4 linked regions of the Neurospora crassa OR74A genome follow. The protein of the gene in region 1 purifies or fractionates together with the protein of each later gene. This does not show direct contact. Links are inferred from orthologs where the notes say so. Each region holds a gene or a part of one and is shown in the gene's direction. Other genes may lie near its edges.

The links.
Region 2: the proteins of cox-4 (region 1) and NCU03233 purify together in Saccharomyces cerevisiae (affinity purification with mass spectrometry; 3 studies listed by BioGRID). This does not show direct contact. The link is inferred for Neurospora crassa OR74A from reciprocal best matches to the Saccharomyces cerevisiae genes COX4 and QCR9.
Region 3: the proteins of cox-4 (region 1) and NCU16028 purify together in Saccharomyces cerevisiae (affinity purification with western blotting; 7 studies listed by BioGRID, with this or other methods). This does not show direct contact. The link is inferred for Neurospora crassa OR74A from reciprocal best matches to the Saccharomyces cerevisiae genes COX4 and COX2.
Region 4: the proteins of cox-4 (region 1) and cyt-26 purify together in Saccharomyces cerevisiae (affinity purification with western blotting; 5 studies listed by BioGRID, with this or other methods). This does not show direct contact. The link is inferred for Neurospora crassa OR74A from reciprocal best matches to the Saccharomyces cerevisiae genes COX4 and CYT1.

What each region holds. Positions count from the first base shown.
Region 1 is NC_026503.1:514,250-518,322, reverse strand, and holds the start of cox-4 (cytochrome c oxidase polypeptide IV), read left to right. Parts: upstream 1-1,265; 5' UTR 1,266-1,469; coding exon 1,470-1,560; intron 1,561-1,814; coding exon 1,815-1,859; intron 1,860-2,272; coding exon 2,273-2,431; intron 2,432-2,492; coding exon 2,493-2,593; intron 2,594-2,656; coding exon 2,657-2,821; 3' UTR 2,822-3,570; coding exon of another isoform or gene 3,571-4,073. Other genes in the region: NCU16615 (hypothetical protein), read right to left, coding at 1-288; NCU05688 (hypothetical protein), read right to left, coding at 3,571-4,073. UniProt on the Saccharomyces cerevisiae protein: Component of the cytochrome c oxidase, the last enzyme in the mitochondrial electron transport chain which drives oxidative phosphorylation.
Region 2 is NC_026501.1:4,990,462-4,993,851, forward strand, and holds NCU03233 (hypothetical protein), read left to right. Parts: upstream 1-1,432; 5' UTR 1,433-1,557; coding exon 1,558-1,560; intron 1,561-1,627; coding exon 1,628-1,641; intron 1,642-1,767; coding exon 1,768-1,833; intron 1,834-1,904; coding exon 1,905-1,953; intron 1,954-2,011; coding exon 2,012-2,059; 3' UTR 2,060-2,887; downstream 2,888-3,390. Other genes in the region: NCU03232 (RNA binding protein Pym), read right to left, coding at 427-1,023. UniProt on the Saccharomyces cerevisiae protein: Component of the ubiquinol-cytochrome c oxidoreductase, a multisubunit transmembrane complex that is part of the mitochondrial electron transport chain which drives oxidative phosphorylation.
Region 3 is NC_026614.1:58,022-60,784, forward strand, and holds NCU16028 (cytochrome c oxidase subunit 2), read left to right. Parts: upstream 1-1,507; coding exon 1,508-2,260; downstream 2,261-2,763. Other genes in the region: NCU16027 (ATPase subunit 9), read left to right, coding at 587-811. UniProt on the Saccharomyces cerevisiae protein: Component of the cytochrome c oxidase, the last enzyme in the mitochondrial electron transport chain which drives oxidative phosphorylation.
Region 4 is NC_026501.1:4,144,765-4,148,777, reverse strand, and holds cyt-26 (cytochrome-26), read left to right. Parts: upstream 1-1,215; 5' UTR 1,216-1,449; coding exon 1,450-1,524; intron 1,525-1,767; coding exon 1,768-1,922; intron 1,923-2,070; coding exon 2,071-2,133; intron 2,134-2,225; coding exon 2,226-2,898; 3' UTR 2,899-3,510; downstream 3,511-4,013. Other genes in the region: aro-7 (DAHP synthase), read left to right, coding at 1-155, 240-400; mbp3 (methylated-DNA-binding protein3), read left to right, coding at 3,666-4,013. UniProt on the Saccharomyces cerevisiae protein: Component of the ubiquinol-cytochrome c oxidoreductase, a multisubunit transmembrane complex that is part of the mitochondrial electron transport chain which drives oxidative phosphorylation.

The sequences.
Region 1 (4,073 bases):
GGTTCGTGGAATATTCCAAGACTTAAGCCCCTGTCTCACCATTCCATATCGCATGTTTCTCGACACCCACCTCATCCTCATCCAGTCAGGGGTATGCAAGCCATCCAGCACCATCGCCGGTTTTAGTATCGACCACGTGAGTGACATCCAAGACCCTGAAAACCGCTCAACTGAAGCAAACGACAGTAACTGCATGACGGGCTCCCCGCATACCCCAGTTGCCCAACTTCCAAAATGGGAAACAAAAAACGGGGTGCATCGTCTGTGCCTCAACAGGGCGAGAACCATGGGACAGGACTCTGGGGTTTGGGGATGGTGGTGTTCGGGAGGTGGGAATTTTCCGCCACTAGGAGGTGGTATCATGTAGGTAAGAATCTTACTTAGTGGGTAGGAGGCAGAGAGAGGAGTACGTAGCTGTAGGGCGTGGTCATGTGCTTAACAAGACGTCCTGTGTGTTTCCATGTCTTGAGCCTCCATGTTGAACAAGGTAAAATACGAGTGTTGTGTAAGCTCCCAGGCGTCCCAAACTCCGAACCCGACTCTCATATGCGAAATTTCACTGCCATGCATGCCTCCACCTCTTCCACAACCACCCAGCCCCTACAACTTCAGATACCACTTTCCTTTCTGCTCCTCCTTCTCAAGGAGCGGGTGGAGGTGAGAGGGGAGGGAGTTGACAAAGGACCGGTGGCGGTTACCGGCTGTGGTGAAGAAGCTGTGGATCGTTTGTTGTGTTGTGTTCTCGTTCGTGAGTTAGTTGGATAAGATAACTTGCACACTTCCGGAATGGTGCCGCTCCAACTTGCACAGGGCGCCGATCCGGGGATCCACTATCGGACACGGAAGCCGGATTGGGCCCGGTAGTTTGAAGCTGGAAAGCCCGAGTTCCGTTTGACGGGGTGGAGCATTGTCGATGTTTGATTGGGGCTTGGAGGGTTAGGGTCACGCCAGTCAAACCTGCAATAGCTTCATCAAGACCTTCTTCCTTCTGCTCCCAGTTAGCTCAATCATTATATAATCTATGCCGTACCCAAGTCAATTGAAACCTAGGATTGCTTCACACAGTCTCTTGCCATGTATTCATCACGCAATTGTCGCTTCACTTCATGGTACAGTACTGATGATATGAGCGGTCCCACGTGCTGCATCACCTGACCGTGCGCTAGCTGCTTCTGGCAACCAGCTGGGGAAGCTTTCCAGAATGTGGTCCAAGCGCCTCCATTCGTACCAAACAACCGCCCGTTCGCCAGTTGCCAGCGGCAGAAGGGAAGGGCAGCACGGTCGGGGCCTCTGTCCACTGCAGTGGTGCCCAGCTCAGCTGTGGGACCCACGGCAGTGTGGGCAAACCAGCTTCGGATTCGGACAGACAGCGACAAAACATCATCTCCCGCCTCTCCGCTCTCTCCCGGTCAATTCTGTCACTCCGACATCACACCATCCACCACCACCCACCCGCCGCCGTCGCCAACATGCTCCTGTCCCGCACCGCCGTCGCCGTCGCCCGCCGGGCCACCGCTGCCCCCGCTCTCCGTCGCAGCATCGCCACCACCGTTGTGCGCTGTAAGTGAACATTGGAAACGTCTCTTGGTTTTTAGCGGCTGCGGCCTGAAAAAAAGCACGGCATCCAAAAAAGCTCCAATCGCGAAGCTGCAAATATCCGCGCATAAGCATCATCACCACCACCACCACCAACGACGACGACATCATGACCCCACCACCACCTCGAACCAATTCGCGACAACCAAACGCGCATCAATCACAAACCCCCGAATCCCGATCGCAAAACTGACACCATGTTTTTATCTTGATTCCAGGCAACGCCGAGACCAAGCCTGTCCCCCACATCAAGCGTCTCTCCGGTATGATGATCTCCCCCCGCCGGCGATTGCGTCACCATTGTGTCTATTGGGGTTGCTGGAGAACTGGGCTACGCGAACTGGAAGCTGTGGTGGGTCTTTCGAAGCTCGAGCTGAGCTTAGTCAAGCTTGGGGGAGCTTGATGAAACAACAAGAAGAAGGAGGAGGAAAGCATTGGACGACCACAAAAAGGAGGGGGTTATTATCATTGCGCGGACGAACCGGAGAAGAAGCTCCTCGACCAGCTCAAGCTTGAGGCTCCCCTATCTACCACAGCTTCCACCGGCCGGGTAGCTCAGTTCAGCCCAGCTTCCCTATAGCCTCCACTCGCTCCATGACGATGCGGGGTGACGGACGAAACCGCATACGACGAAAAAACATACATGACTGACATATATACCTTTCGCGACAAACAGAGATCAAGACCAAGGATGACCTCTTCGGCCCCGGTGCCGCCCCCGGCACTGTCCCCACCGATCTCGAGCAGGCCACCGGTCTCGAGCGTCTCGAAATTCTCGGCAAGATGGAGGGCGTCGACGTTTTCGACATGAAGCCCCTTGATGCCTCCCGCAGGGGTAAGACTTGCTGTAATAACCTGGGTTGAGAGGAGCTGGGGGGTTGACAGTTGAAAAATAGGCACCATGGAGAACCCCATCTCCGTCCGCTCCGCCGGTGATGAGCAGTACGCCGGTTGCACTGGCTTCCCTGCCGACTCCCACAACGTCATCTGGCTCACCGTGAGTTTTTTCTCTTCTCTGTTTCTTCTACCGCTCAAATTGAGTATTCTAACCAAAAAATAGATGACCCGCGAGCGCCCCGTCGAGCGCTGCCCCGAGTGCGGCAACGTCTACAAGATGGACTACGTCGGTCCCCAGGACGACCACGCCCACGACCACGGCCACGACCACCACGGCTTCGAGGAGCCCAAGACCTTTGCCGACTACGTCAAGCCCGAGTACTGGTAAATTACCCAGTTGTGGGGTTTGCAAAGGGAGGTTTGAGGTTTTTGTGTAGTGGGTTGTTAATAGAAGAAGACATTGACAAATACGATGCATGCATATGACACAAGTTTACTGGGAGGCAAGCACTGTGAATGCGAACCTGGAGAACACGGGGGTGATGATGAGGCTGGGTAGGTGGTTGTTACCTCATTGGACTTGCATTCGGGAACCTAGAGCTGTAGATTTCTACCTAGAACCCTGGGGCCAAATAAATACTGAACATGGAATTGTATATACCATCGAGAAGCTCGAAAGAGGTTGGATTGGCGTGACAGTATCTAGATTCAGGATTGCTACTAGGGCTGTTTGCTCAGAGTGCATTCGCAGAATCATCTAGACTCGACCTTCTCTGCGGTACCGAGCAACAAGACTCGAGACCATCCAAGATAGCTTCTTCTGCCTGGCACTGAGTCAGAGCACCGCAGGATCGGGAACGACGTTCTGGCACAGCTCCCTATTGCTTTTCTCCGGACAGCTCTTGGGTAGTACTCCAGGCATAACGGCATAGACAAACTCGGACTTTGCATCCCTCGTCATCCGCAAGCTTGTCACCAGGTCGCGCATCTTGCGCCCTTCCACTTGCTATTGGGACATGCGCCGGCCGACGTGGTTGTTAGCCTTGAACACACACCTTCCTCTCGGCATGCCCCCCTTTTTTTTCTCCCGTCGGTGTTTATGTACTTCCAGCGCCCAAGCCCGATAACGACGGCATCTCAACCCTCCTCATCACCATCACCAAAGCTAAGCTTGATTTTCTTAGCCTTCTTCATGGCCGTCTTGGGCTTTGGTTTCTCCCCTGCCTGTTCCGTTTTTCCGCTTTGGTCTTTGGCATCTGTACCCTCAGCCTTTGCCTTTGGCTCCTTAGCATCCCCATCTTGCTCTTGATCAGAGTCATCATCGCCAGCAATGACCTTCCCTACCTTTCTCTTCTTCTTACTCGCTCCTATTCCCACTCCTTTCTCCTCCTTTGCCATCTTGTTATTCCCTTCTTTACTCCCCTCCCCATGTTTGTTTCTGTCCCCCCCTTCCCCTTCTCTCCCTTCTTGTTTTCCCTCCCCATCTTTCCCATCTTTTCCCCCCTCCCCCTCTTTCCCATCTTTTCCCCCCTCCCCCTCTTCCCCCTCTTGTCCCTGTCCCTCCCCCTCTGTGGTCCCCTCACCCTCCACCTTCGAACCAGACTCCATCACCCTCCCATCCTTCCCCACAGACACTCCAT
Region 2 (3,390 bases), on another chromosome or scaffold:
AATTGACTGTACAGACCCTGTACAGCCAGCAGCATTCGAAACCATCACTCTTTATCGTCGTCGTCCCTTTCATCTTAACAATTTGCCTTGGACATTCGCCTTGGACCATTCGCCTTTACCCGATCGCAACGTTCAGAGCAGCAGCACTTCCCGTCATGGCATATTCATACAGCTACCCCATGCTCCCCAGGCCCTCAACGCGGGCGCGCGGAGCGGCAGAAGGCTCAAAGGTCGGCGTGCAGTGTCAAAGAGTGTCGAAAGGCTTCCCAGTTTAGGCTCATGCTGAAGGATTGTTCAGGGATCGTCGTGAATCGAGTGTGGCGCATCAATTGGACCGGCGGAGCAGTGTCTCTGTAACTTGGCCATAGCAATTGCCGGCCAGGACCTATGCTCATGATCTTTATCCTCGATCGTCACTTTCCTGCTTCAGGTCGAGTCCTCTTTTGGTTCAGACGAAGCCTTTGCGGTCTTTGGCTCCCCTTCAGAGTCGAAACCAAGGGCATCCAATTCCCGGATGAGTTCGTTGATCTTGATAACCTTGGCGATCTGTTCAGGTAACAACGACTCTCCACCATCCTTCTTGTCCTTCAGCTCCTTGGCCTGGCGAAGCTTCTTCTTTACATTCCGGGCCTTCTTCTCCTTCTCGGCTTCCGGGTCGAGCTCTTCTGGCTTGAGTGCAGGGGCCGCTGCAACAGCTGTCTTCTGATCCTCGCCTTCTATTTCGCCAGCAGCCTTGGCTTTTTTGCGCGCTTCCCGACGTTTGGCATTTTTGTTAGCCGCCGCACTGAGCTGCTGGTCCGACTTGTCCTCCTTCAATCCCTCTGCGCCCGGCACTGGGCCTTTGCCGCGCTGGCGAAAGCCCTCGGCGGTGCGGTTCTTGTACACCTCGACATCCTCGGGCGGGCGGTAGCCGGGGCGGACTTTGATAGCTTTTCTGGTACTCCCGTCGGCTCTCTTAGACTCGGGGATGACACGCTCGCCGTTTTTGTCAGTTATGATGCCGGAGTTTGTTGGCTGAGACATGGTTCAAGATTGTGGTGGGATTATTGATGTTCGATGAGGGGTTCGGCTAGGGTTGCGGCGATGCCGTTCGACGATTCGGAAGTAGTGAGTTTCGTATAAATGTTTAATGGTTGATTCGCCGGAGCTCGAACCTCGCGTGTCGAGATTGTTGCTTTCGTAATGCGCACAGTTTGATGCGCATCCGTCGGACACGTCAATCAGTAAATTTGTAGGAAGAAGCAAGAGATTGGAAAATGAGGACGACGTTGTGGCTTCGAGGTTGATCCCGCTTGCAGCTTGGCACGCTTGTGAGAGGTGCCAGCAGCCTTGGAGGCACCTGGAGAAAGTGGGTCATAGCTTTGACCAATCAGGGGAGCTGCATTTGCTCCGGATGGTTCCGGCCGGCGACATCTGCGATCTTCTAGGTTCCGCTGGGTCGGTTTTGTCCAGTGCAACGAAAAACATCGTGATTGCTCGCGACGCCCATCTCCCACACAACGTCACCGTCAGAGACGCAGCTGAACCACCGTTTACAGCCTCGGTAAATCTGCCAAAATGGTGAGCATCTCTCCGCCCTCACGCCGGCTCAGAACCTGCCAATGCTAATCGCGCATTCCCAATTTAGTCCGCTTTGTACAAGCAAGTATCCCCGCAACGCCGAGCGCATGCTCACACGCCTCCCACCCCCATCGGCCCGGCACCGGCCCCGACCCTATCTCCCGGGCCAAAGCCAAATCGAGCACCGATAGCTAACGTACATCCCAGCCTCATCTTCCGCAACAACACCGCCTTTGTCGGCGCTGTCTTCGCTGGTGCCTTCGCCTTCGAGTTGTACGTACCCACGACAGTCGTATAAACATATAACAGGGAATCTTGTGTCGCTGAACAATCGCACCATCTAGGGCCTATGACAACGGCATGGACAAGGTCTGGGACAAGATCAACAAGGGGGTACGAGCCTACGACTGAATTGACACTGGTGTGGAACAGTTGCTGACGAGGAGAACAGCGCCAATGGAAGGACATCCGCCACAAGTACGTCGAGGCTGAGGAGTAAACATGACGACTTGGGAGCAACTTTTCAAGACATGGAAACGCCGACCCGATGAGGATCAGACGACAGCCTCTAGGAGAAAGTGGGACGTGGTCGACGGCCATTGATTGCTAGAGGAATGGGCGACTTTTCCTGACGCTTCTGCCTACCAAGCCCCTATTTCTACCGTATTGTACAAAATCAATATTCACCATGGCGAAAGACACATAGACGAATGACCATAGCCCGACTACAAGGCTGAAGAGTAGGAGCATTGAGCAATTCTCTCTGCCAGCTTTTGATCTGAGGAACCTCAGCATGAAGCAAGCCCGGCAACCGAACGGCCCAGCCTGGATTTCGGACGTGTGTATGTGTGGGCAATGTCTGCTTTAAATTTCCCAGCGTTGCGTAGCAGGCTGAAGCGTTCGATGAACTGCGCAGTTCGAGCTGACCTTCGCAATCTCTGACGTCTTTACGCAGCGGCTTTGATGGTCGGTCGGACGGCATGGATTTTTCACACACCAAGCGCCAGCCCCTGGCAAGCTACGTTAGCTGGCACTGTGGCCTGTGGTATGTGGTATGTAGAGGTAGTAGAGTATAGAGGTACCTACCGGCTGGTGCTCGACATGGTGATTATTCGCTGAGGAACCTCTACATTTGACCTACTAACTTTTTGTTCTGTCCCTACCGTACCTCTACCGGTACTTCAGGAGCAACACGGTGCAATGCACGATGATGATTATCAATATACGGTGTGGACGACATCAGGACGGGAGGTTCAGTTTGTAACAAGTCGCTCGGTTAGGTATAGTAGCGGAAGCACACGCGTACTTCTGAGGGTAAGCGTGGCCCAGTTGTAGTGTTTAGTTGCTCCCTATCATAAACAGTACCATTCATAACTGTACGTCAAGAAGGGAACAGGGCTTCACTCTTCCTAGTACCTTCTGCCTACGCTACCTCTACCTCTACTTAAAGGCCCGGAGTGCGGCCCCCCACTGACGTACCATTACGAGCGTCAGTGCACCTTCTTGTTCGCAAAATACCGAAGCTCGCTGCAGGATTTGTCTCGCAAATGTCGATAGGTAAAGATATAATGGGGATGAGTTATGGTCAAAGATGGTAGGAGCTTTTAGTGGAGTCCTAAGTGTCGGTGCAATCACGACTGCAAACCTACCTGGGTAACATAGGTTGCTCCGACGGCATGTCTACCAGTACTGAATTGGATGTTAGGCCAAATGGCACCAACGGAACTCGCAATGGATCAACAGCGGCCATAGAAGCCCGACAAAACCCCCCCCACAGGATCTACAATTAAGAAGGAACTCGGAGGAACGGTCCTGACGGTCGGTTGTTGG
Region 3 (2,763 bases), on another chromosome or scaffold:
TGTTAATGTGTGATTTAATTTGGTACGTATCACGTAAGGGGAATGATGGATGATACATTATGCTATGTAATGATGTAATGTAATGTAATGTAATGTTATATCCACTATGTACTGCAAATGTAATCATCTGATAGATAATATAAAATGTAACTTAATGTAACTTAACTTAATGTAATGTAATGTAACTTAATGTAACTTAATGTTATGTAACTGTAATGTAATATTTTGTAATGTAACTGTAATGTAACTTAATATAATGTAACTGTAATGTAATATAATGTACAGTAATGTAACTGTAATGTAATGTTACATTACATGTAATGTAATGTAATGTATTGTAATGTAATCTTTATATGTAATGTACTAAAGATTACGATAGCTAGCCAGTTATATACTGGCTAGCTATCGTATGATTATTGTAGCCATTAGGGATAGCCTAATGGCTACTTGATTATCATTAGATATACTGCAACAGCAGTAAATACACTGTTGTCGGGAGCCTCAGTGGTATTTGCTGCTTTGCGGTGGTGGAATTGAAGAGGTTACTAGATTCTAGTTAATTTTTGATTCCACCATTGTATATATAATGATACAAGTAGCTAAAATAATAGGAACAGGGCTAGCTACCACAGGTTTAATCGGAGCTGGTATAGGTATTGGAGTTGTATTTGGCTCATTAATAATAGGGGTTTCAAGAAACCCTTCGTTAAAAAGTCAATTATTTGCATATGCAATTTTAGGTTTTGCTTTCTCGGAAGCGACAGGATTATTTGCTTTGATGATGGCTTTTTTACTTCTTTATGTTGCATAGTAATGATAGAGATTAGGAATAAAATGATGTATGGCTGCTTAAATAAAAAATATGGCTGCTCTTCCTGCTTAGCTAGCTAGCTAGCTTCGAGGGACCCCACGAATACGGCCCACACACGAAGGTGTGTGGGGTATTCGTGGGGGGCCCCCTCCTACTTCCTGCCTACGAAGTCTAGGCAGGCAGGAAGCAGCCTTAATAATTTAGCTAGCCATAATATCGCGACCACCCTCCTCCACTCAACCCCCCCCTTGGCGGCCCCCATCTTTCCCCCGCCCTGCAATACTGCAGGGGGGCATAATTAAATGTGATGGGGACCTTGAGCAAAGGAGGGGGTACGCGAGTGGAGGAGGGTGGTACTTTTTTGGGAGGGAAGCTGAGCGAAGCTGAGCGAAGCTGAGCGAAGTGAGCGAAGTGTGCGAAGCTGAGCGAAGGTAATTCATTTTTTTGGGCCCCCGCCCCGAAGGGGGCGGGGTCCCCCGAAAAAACAAAGGACGCTAGCGTAGCCTAACCTTATGAGCAGCAGGCTATAAAAACCCATTAGGCACAGGGTATACTTCGTTAGTGGATAAGAATTAGCCTAGCCTTAATATACAATACAGTTTAATGTTATATTTAAATTCTATATTTTATGAAAAGATATAATATATTTATTATTATGGTTTAATATTCAATATAGAATATTCTATTTCTTTTTTTATGGGATTATTATTTAATAATTTAATTATGAATTTTGATGCTCCAAGCCCATGAGGTATCTATTTTCAAGATAGTGCTACTCCTCAGATGGAAGGTTTAGTTGAATTACATGACAATATTATGTACTATCTGGTGGTAATACTATTTGGTGTAGGATGAATCTTATTATCTATAATAAGAAATTATATCAGTACAAAATCACCAATTTCACATAAATATTTAAATCACGGTACATTAATCGAATTAATATGAACTATTACTCCAGCAGTAATATTAATATTAATTGCTTTCCCTTCATTTAAGTTGCTATATTTAATGGATGAAGTTAGTGATCCTTCAATGTCAGTTTTAGCAGAGGGGCACCAATGATATTGAAGTTACCAATATCCTGATTTCTTAGATTCAAATGATGAATTTATAGAATTTGATTCATATATAGTACCGGAATCCGATTTGGAAGAAGGAGCACTAAGAATGTTAGAGGTGGATAATAGAGTTATCCTTCCTGAACTAACACACGTTAGATTTATCATCACTGCAGGTGATGTGATACATAGCTTCGCTGTTCCATCTTTAGGTGTTAAATGTGATGCTTATCCTGGGAGATTAAATCAAGTATCTGTTTTTATTAACAGAGAAGGAGTATTCTATGGTCAATGCTCTGAAATCTGTGGTATATTACACAGTTCTATGCCTATAGTTATAGAGTCAGTATCTCTAGAAAAATTCCTTACTTGATTAGAAGAACAGTAAGACGATAAAATAGTTTTTGGCTAAATAAAGGAACTCGGGGGACCCCACGAATACGGCCCACACACGAAGGTGTGTGGGGTATTCGTGGGGCCCTATGTATTTGAGTATGAAGCCATCTAGTGGTTATCTCTCCCCCCCTCCCCGCAGGTTTGCGGGGGGGGAGCGAGGGGGTAGCGATAAAAAGTTTCTAATATGAAGAGGATGACTTATGGAATTAACTCCACTCCCCCCCCCCTTAAGGGGGGGAGTGGAGTGGAACGGAATTAACTCCACTCGCTCCCCCCCCCGCAGGTTTGCGGGGGGGAGCGAGTGGAGTGGAACATCCGGGAGGTGGTGGGTTATATTATAAACAATATTCGGGGGACCCCGCCCCCTTCGGGGGCGGGGGGCCCATTAACTGGAAAGCACCCCCCCCTTAAGGGGGGTGCTTTTAATTATTATTATTTTTATAGGTTAATTAGGTTTAAAAGGCTACCCGCCCCCCCCCCTGCAGTACTGCAGGG
Region 4 (4,013 bases), on another chromosome or scaffold:
CGGCTTGCGCCAGCGCCTGATGATTGACTGCAGCCACGGCAACTCGAATAAGAACCACAAGAACCAGCCCAAGGTCGCTGCCGAAATTGCGCAACAACTTGAGAACGGCGAAACTGGTATCATGGGCGTCATGATTGAGAGCAACATCAACGAGGGCAAGTCTTTTTATTTTGTTTATTTTTTTTATTGGGGGCATATGACCGTCTAAATTTGAAGCTGTTCGCTAACACAACGTACAGGTAACCAGAAGGTGCCCGAGGAAGGCAAGTGCGGCCTCAAGTACGGTGTCAGTATCACTGATGCTTGTATTGGCTGGGAGGACACTGTCGCCACTCTCGACACGCTTGCGCAGGCCGTCAAAAAGAGGAGAGAAGTCCTGAGCAAGAACGCCGCTGCCTAAGTCATGCCAATTCCTGGTCTTGTTTGCTTTATGGTTTATGGGTCATTTGATAGGGGTTCACGAACCCTAAGTGAGGGATGCCGAATATATGCTGGCGCGGGGATGGGAACACAAAAGCTGACATTTCTGCATGTGGTGTGTTTTGATAAAGAGCGTGTATTAATGCATCTTGGGAAATGGCCGTCGAGACAATAGAAGATGGTAAAAGATGGAGCGGGTCTGGATCTCAAAACGAAACAATTACCTTGGATTTCTTTCGATGATAATCTCTAGGATCGTCCATGTTCGACTACAGTTTTGCGTTGCCTTTTTTTTTGGGGATGCAATTGTGGTGATGTGTTGGTGTGAAGCGTGATAGCCGTGGTGACCAAATCTGAGCTTCACCTGCGATTACGGGGCCACGGCATAGGTATGTATGTGTGGTGTATAGCTTCAAACCTGGCTTTCCTTGGCAGCTTTTCCTCGGCTAGGTCCGGTCACGCTGGGTCGCCGTGTGAGCTGAAAAGACAGAAGGGGCGGACCGCGGGCAGCGAGAGCTTGGACATTTATGATTTCCATGGGGCGATGCTGGCTGATGCTGATGCTGATACTGATGCTGATCCTGATCCTGATGCCCAGCTCCCAGCTGTGCCCAGTTGGATTAGTCGCTTGTGAAACTTCCACTTGCAGGTCGGGATTGGGCTCGCTGAGGTGTCTACCTTACTGAGCAAGGTAGTCTCAAAAAGCGCTGAGGCCCGCGGGCAGAATGAGGTAAATTAGTGCGGAAAATCCATCGGCCGGGGCCGAGGGGAAGTGTAAAAGCTCGAAAGGCTGCACGGTGATTGGCCCAGCCAATCAGATGGCGAGTGTTCCTAAGATTCCCGAAATTCAAGAAACCTACGGTCCTACCTACGACGCTACGTGAAGGGAATCGACCGACCTTGCACCTGGACGGACCTGCTCGACCTCCCGCCCGCCAGACCTGATACTGTCACCGACATTGCCAACCCAATTGGCCTTGTCCCCCGAACCCGCGATACTTTCCTAAAGCTTCGCTCAGCTTGCCCACCATGCTGGCGAGGACCTGCCTGCGCTCGACGCGCACCTTTGCCAGCGCGAAAAATGGCGCCTTCAAATTTGCCAAGGTTCGTCTCGATTGCTTCGACAACTCTTTCGTCCTCGTCTCTCTGCCCCTCCAAACAACAGATCTCGGCCGCATCGCCACTCGAATGGCTGGGTCTGGGCCGGCTTGAGCTACCGTCAACCTACTGCGAGCTCCCGGTCCGGGGCCCAGTTGCCCGACCATCCCCGCCCCGGCCGAGCCATCCTGTCTTGTCTCCTTCACACTCTCGCGCTCCTCGAGGAAAGCTAACGGACGTGCCCGGCAGCGTTCGGCTTCCACCCAGAGCTCCGGCGCCGCTGCCGAGTCTCCCCTCCGCCTGAACATTGCTGCCGCCGCTGCCACCGCCGTCGCCGCCGGCTCGATCGCCTGGTACTACCATCTCTATGGATTCGCTTCCGCCATGACTCCGGCTGAGGAAGGGTGAGTCCCCTACGATCGATCCGACCATCCGCCCCGCTCTAGCCGCTGGACCGAGGTCTGCCTCATGGGTTCTGAGGCATATACGACCGAGCTCGACTATAGGCATGAATCTGGGCATGGAGTGACTCGAAGCTTACCGTTGACGCAGTCTCCATGCTACCAAGTACCCCTGGGTCCACGAACAGTGGCTCAAGACCTTTGATCACCAAGCGTAAGCAACCACTCCTATCCAGCCCATTCGAGGCCGCGCCTCCAATCCAAAATGACTATCTGGCTCACGACTTTGTTTTTGCCCGACTGCAGTCTTCGCAGAGGTTTCCAGGTGTACCGTGAGGTCTGCGCCTCGTGCCACTCTCTCAGCAGAGTCCCCTACCGCGCTCTTGTCGGCACCATCTTGACCGTCGATGAGGCCAAGGCTCTTGCCGAAGAGAACGAGTACGACACCGAGCCCAACGACCAGGGCGAGATCGAGAAGCGCCCCGGCAAGCTTTCCGACTACCTCCCCGATCCCTACAAGAACGATGAGGCCGCCCGTTTCGCCAACAACGGTGCCCTTCCTCCCGATCTCAGCTTGATCGTCAAGGCCCGCCACGGTGGCTGCGACTACATCTTCTCCCTCCTTACCGGCTATCCCGATGAGCCTCCCGCTGGCGCTTCCGTTGGCGCCGGCCTTAACTTCAACCCCTACTTCCCCGGTACCGGTATCGCCATGGCCCGTGTCCTCTACGACGGCCTCGTCGACTACGAGGATGGCACCCCCGCCTCCACCTCCCAGATGGCCAAGGATGTTGTTGAGTTCCTCAACTGGGCTGCTGAGCCCGAGATGGACGACCGCAAGCGCATGGGTATGAAGGTTCTGGTTGTCACCTCTGTGCTCTTCGCCTTGAGCGTCTATGTTAAGCGTTACAAGTGGGCTTGGCTCAAGTCGAGGAAGATCGTCTACGATCCCCCCAAGGAGTCCACCACCCGCCACTAATTTAGCATTGCCACAACAAAGGGCAAAGTCATGACATTCACACAATAACCGTTGTGAGACGTGCGTGATTTTCCTTGTCTTTTTCTGTGTATGTATCATATACTATTGCTGCCCAAATTTTGCTCCCCCATGTTCCTCTTGCGCATCGGTCAGAAAGAGCAAAACGAAAAGGAATGGGCAGGGGCGGGATCGGTAACTCTGGGCAATGCGGAGATGTGCGGGCGTGTGGGTTGAACATGAAGATGGTCGTAGAGTGTATAAATCAAATTTTCTGGTCTCAAATACAACATAGACGTTATTGCCTGTGTCTGACAGGGTATGATGGTATGGGTATGACGGTCAAGCTGAACTTGCATGTGAGTGGATCAGGATACGGATATTACGACATGGGCATTTGAACGGATGCCAAAGAGTAAAGGCCATTTCCCTGTCAGCTACATCATCATGTACGCCTTTAACTTCGAGAGTAGTTGAGATATAGTATGAGCTTCGAAAGCCTTGACATTTCTCGATTGGCAATCTCTCTTTCACCGAATCACGGTAAATGTCAGCACGAAGTGCCACAGAGGATGCCCCTGGCTTGGCATTTGATTTGCCTTCCAAACAAAGTCTTGGCCCCCTCCCCTCCCTTTTCGATTCACTCACTGACAAGCAACAACATCTTGACCCCAAACTCATCGTGAAGTTTTCAATCACATTTTGATTCTACGATTGCTGGACACCACATATGTAAATCCAAAACTCTCCATCCACTGACAACCAGCAAAATGTCATCATCAAAACTATCACCACCCCAATCACAGGCCTCTCGCCTCCCATATAACGATGTCATGTCACCAGACCTCGCCAATGACATCCTCAATGACTTCAACGTCGACTTCTCCTCTTCCTCTCAAGACCGAGACTACCTCGCCTCGCTGCTTACCTCGGGTTTCGCCCCACCAGTTGAAGTCCGCAAACTTTGGGAACCGAGTCTCATGCGTGGAATGGAAGAATGGGAAATGATGATGGATTGTGCCCATTCCTTGAGGGATCAAGCTTATCGGGTTCTGCGGCTGGAGCGAGAACAAGATCATGGTCAAAATCGCGTGATGGGTGATCCTGAGCTGTGTTTG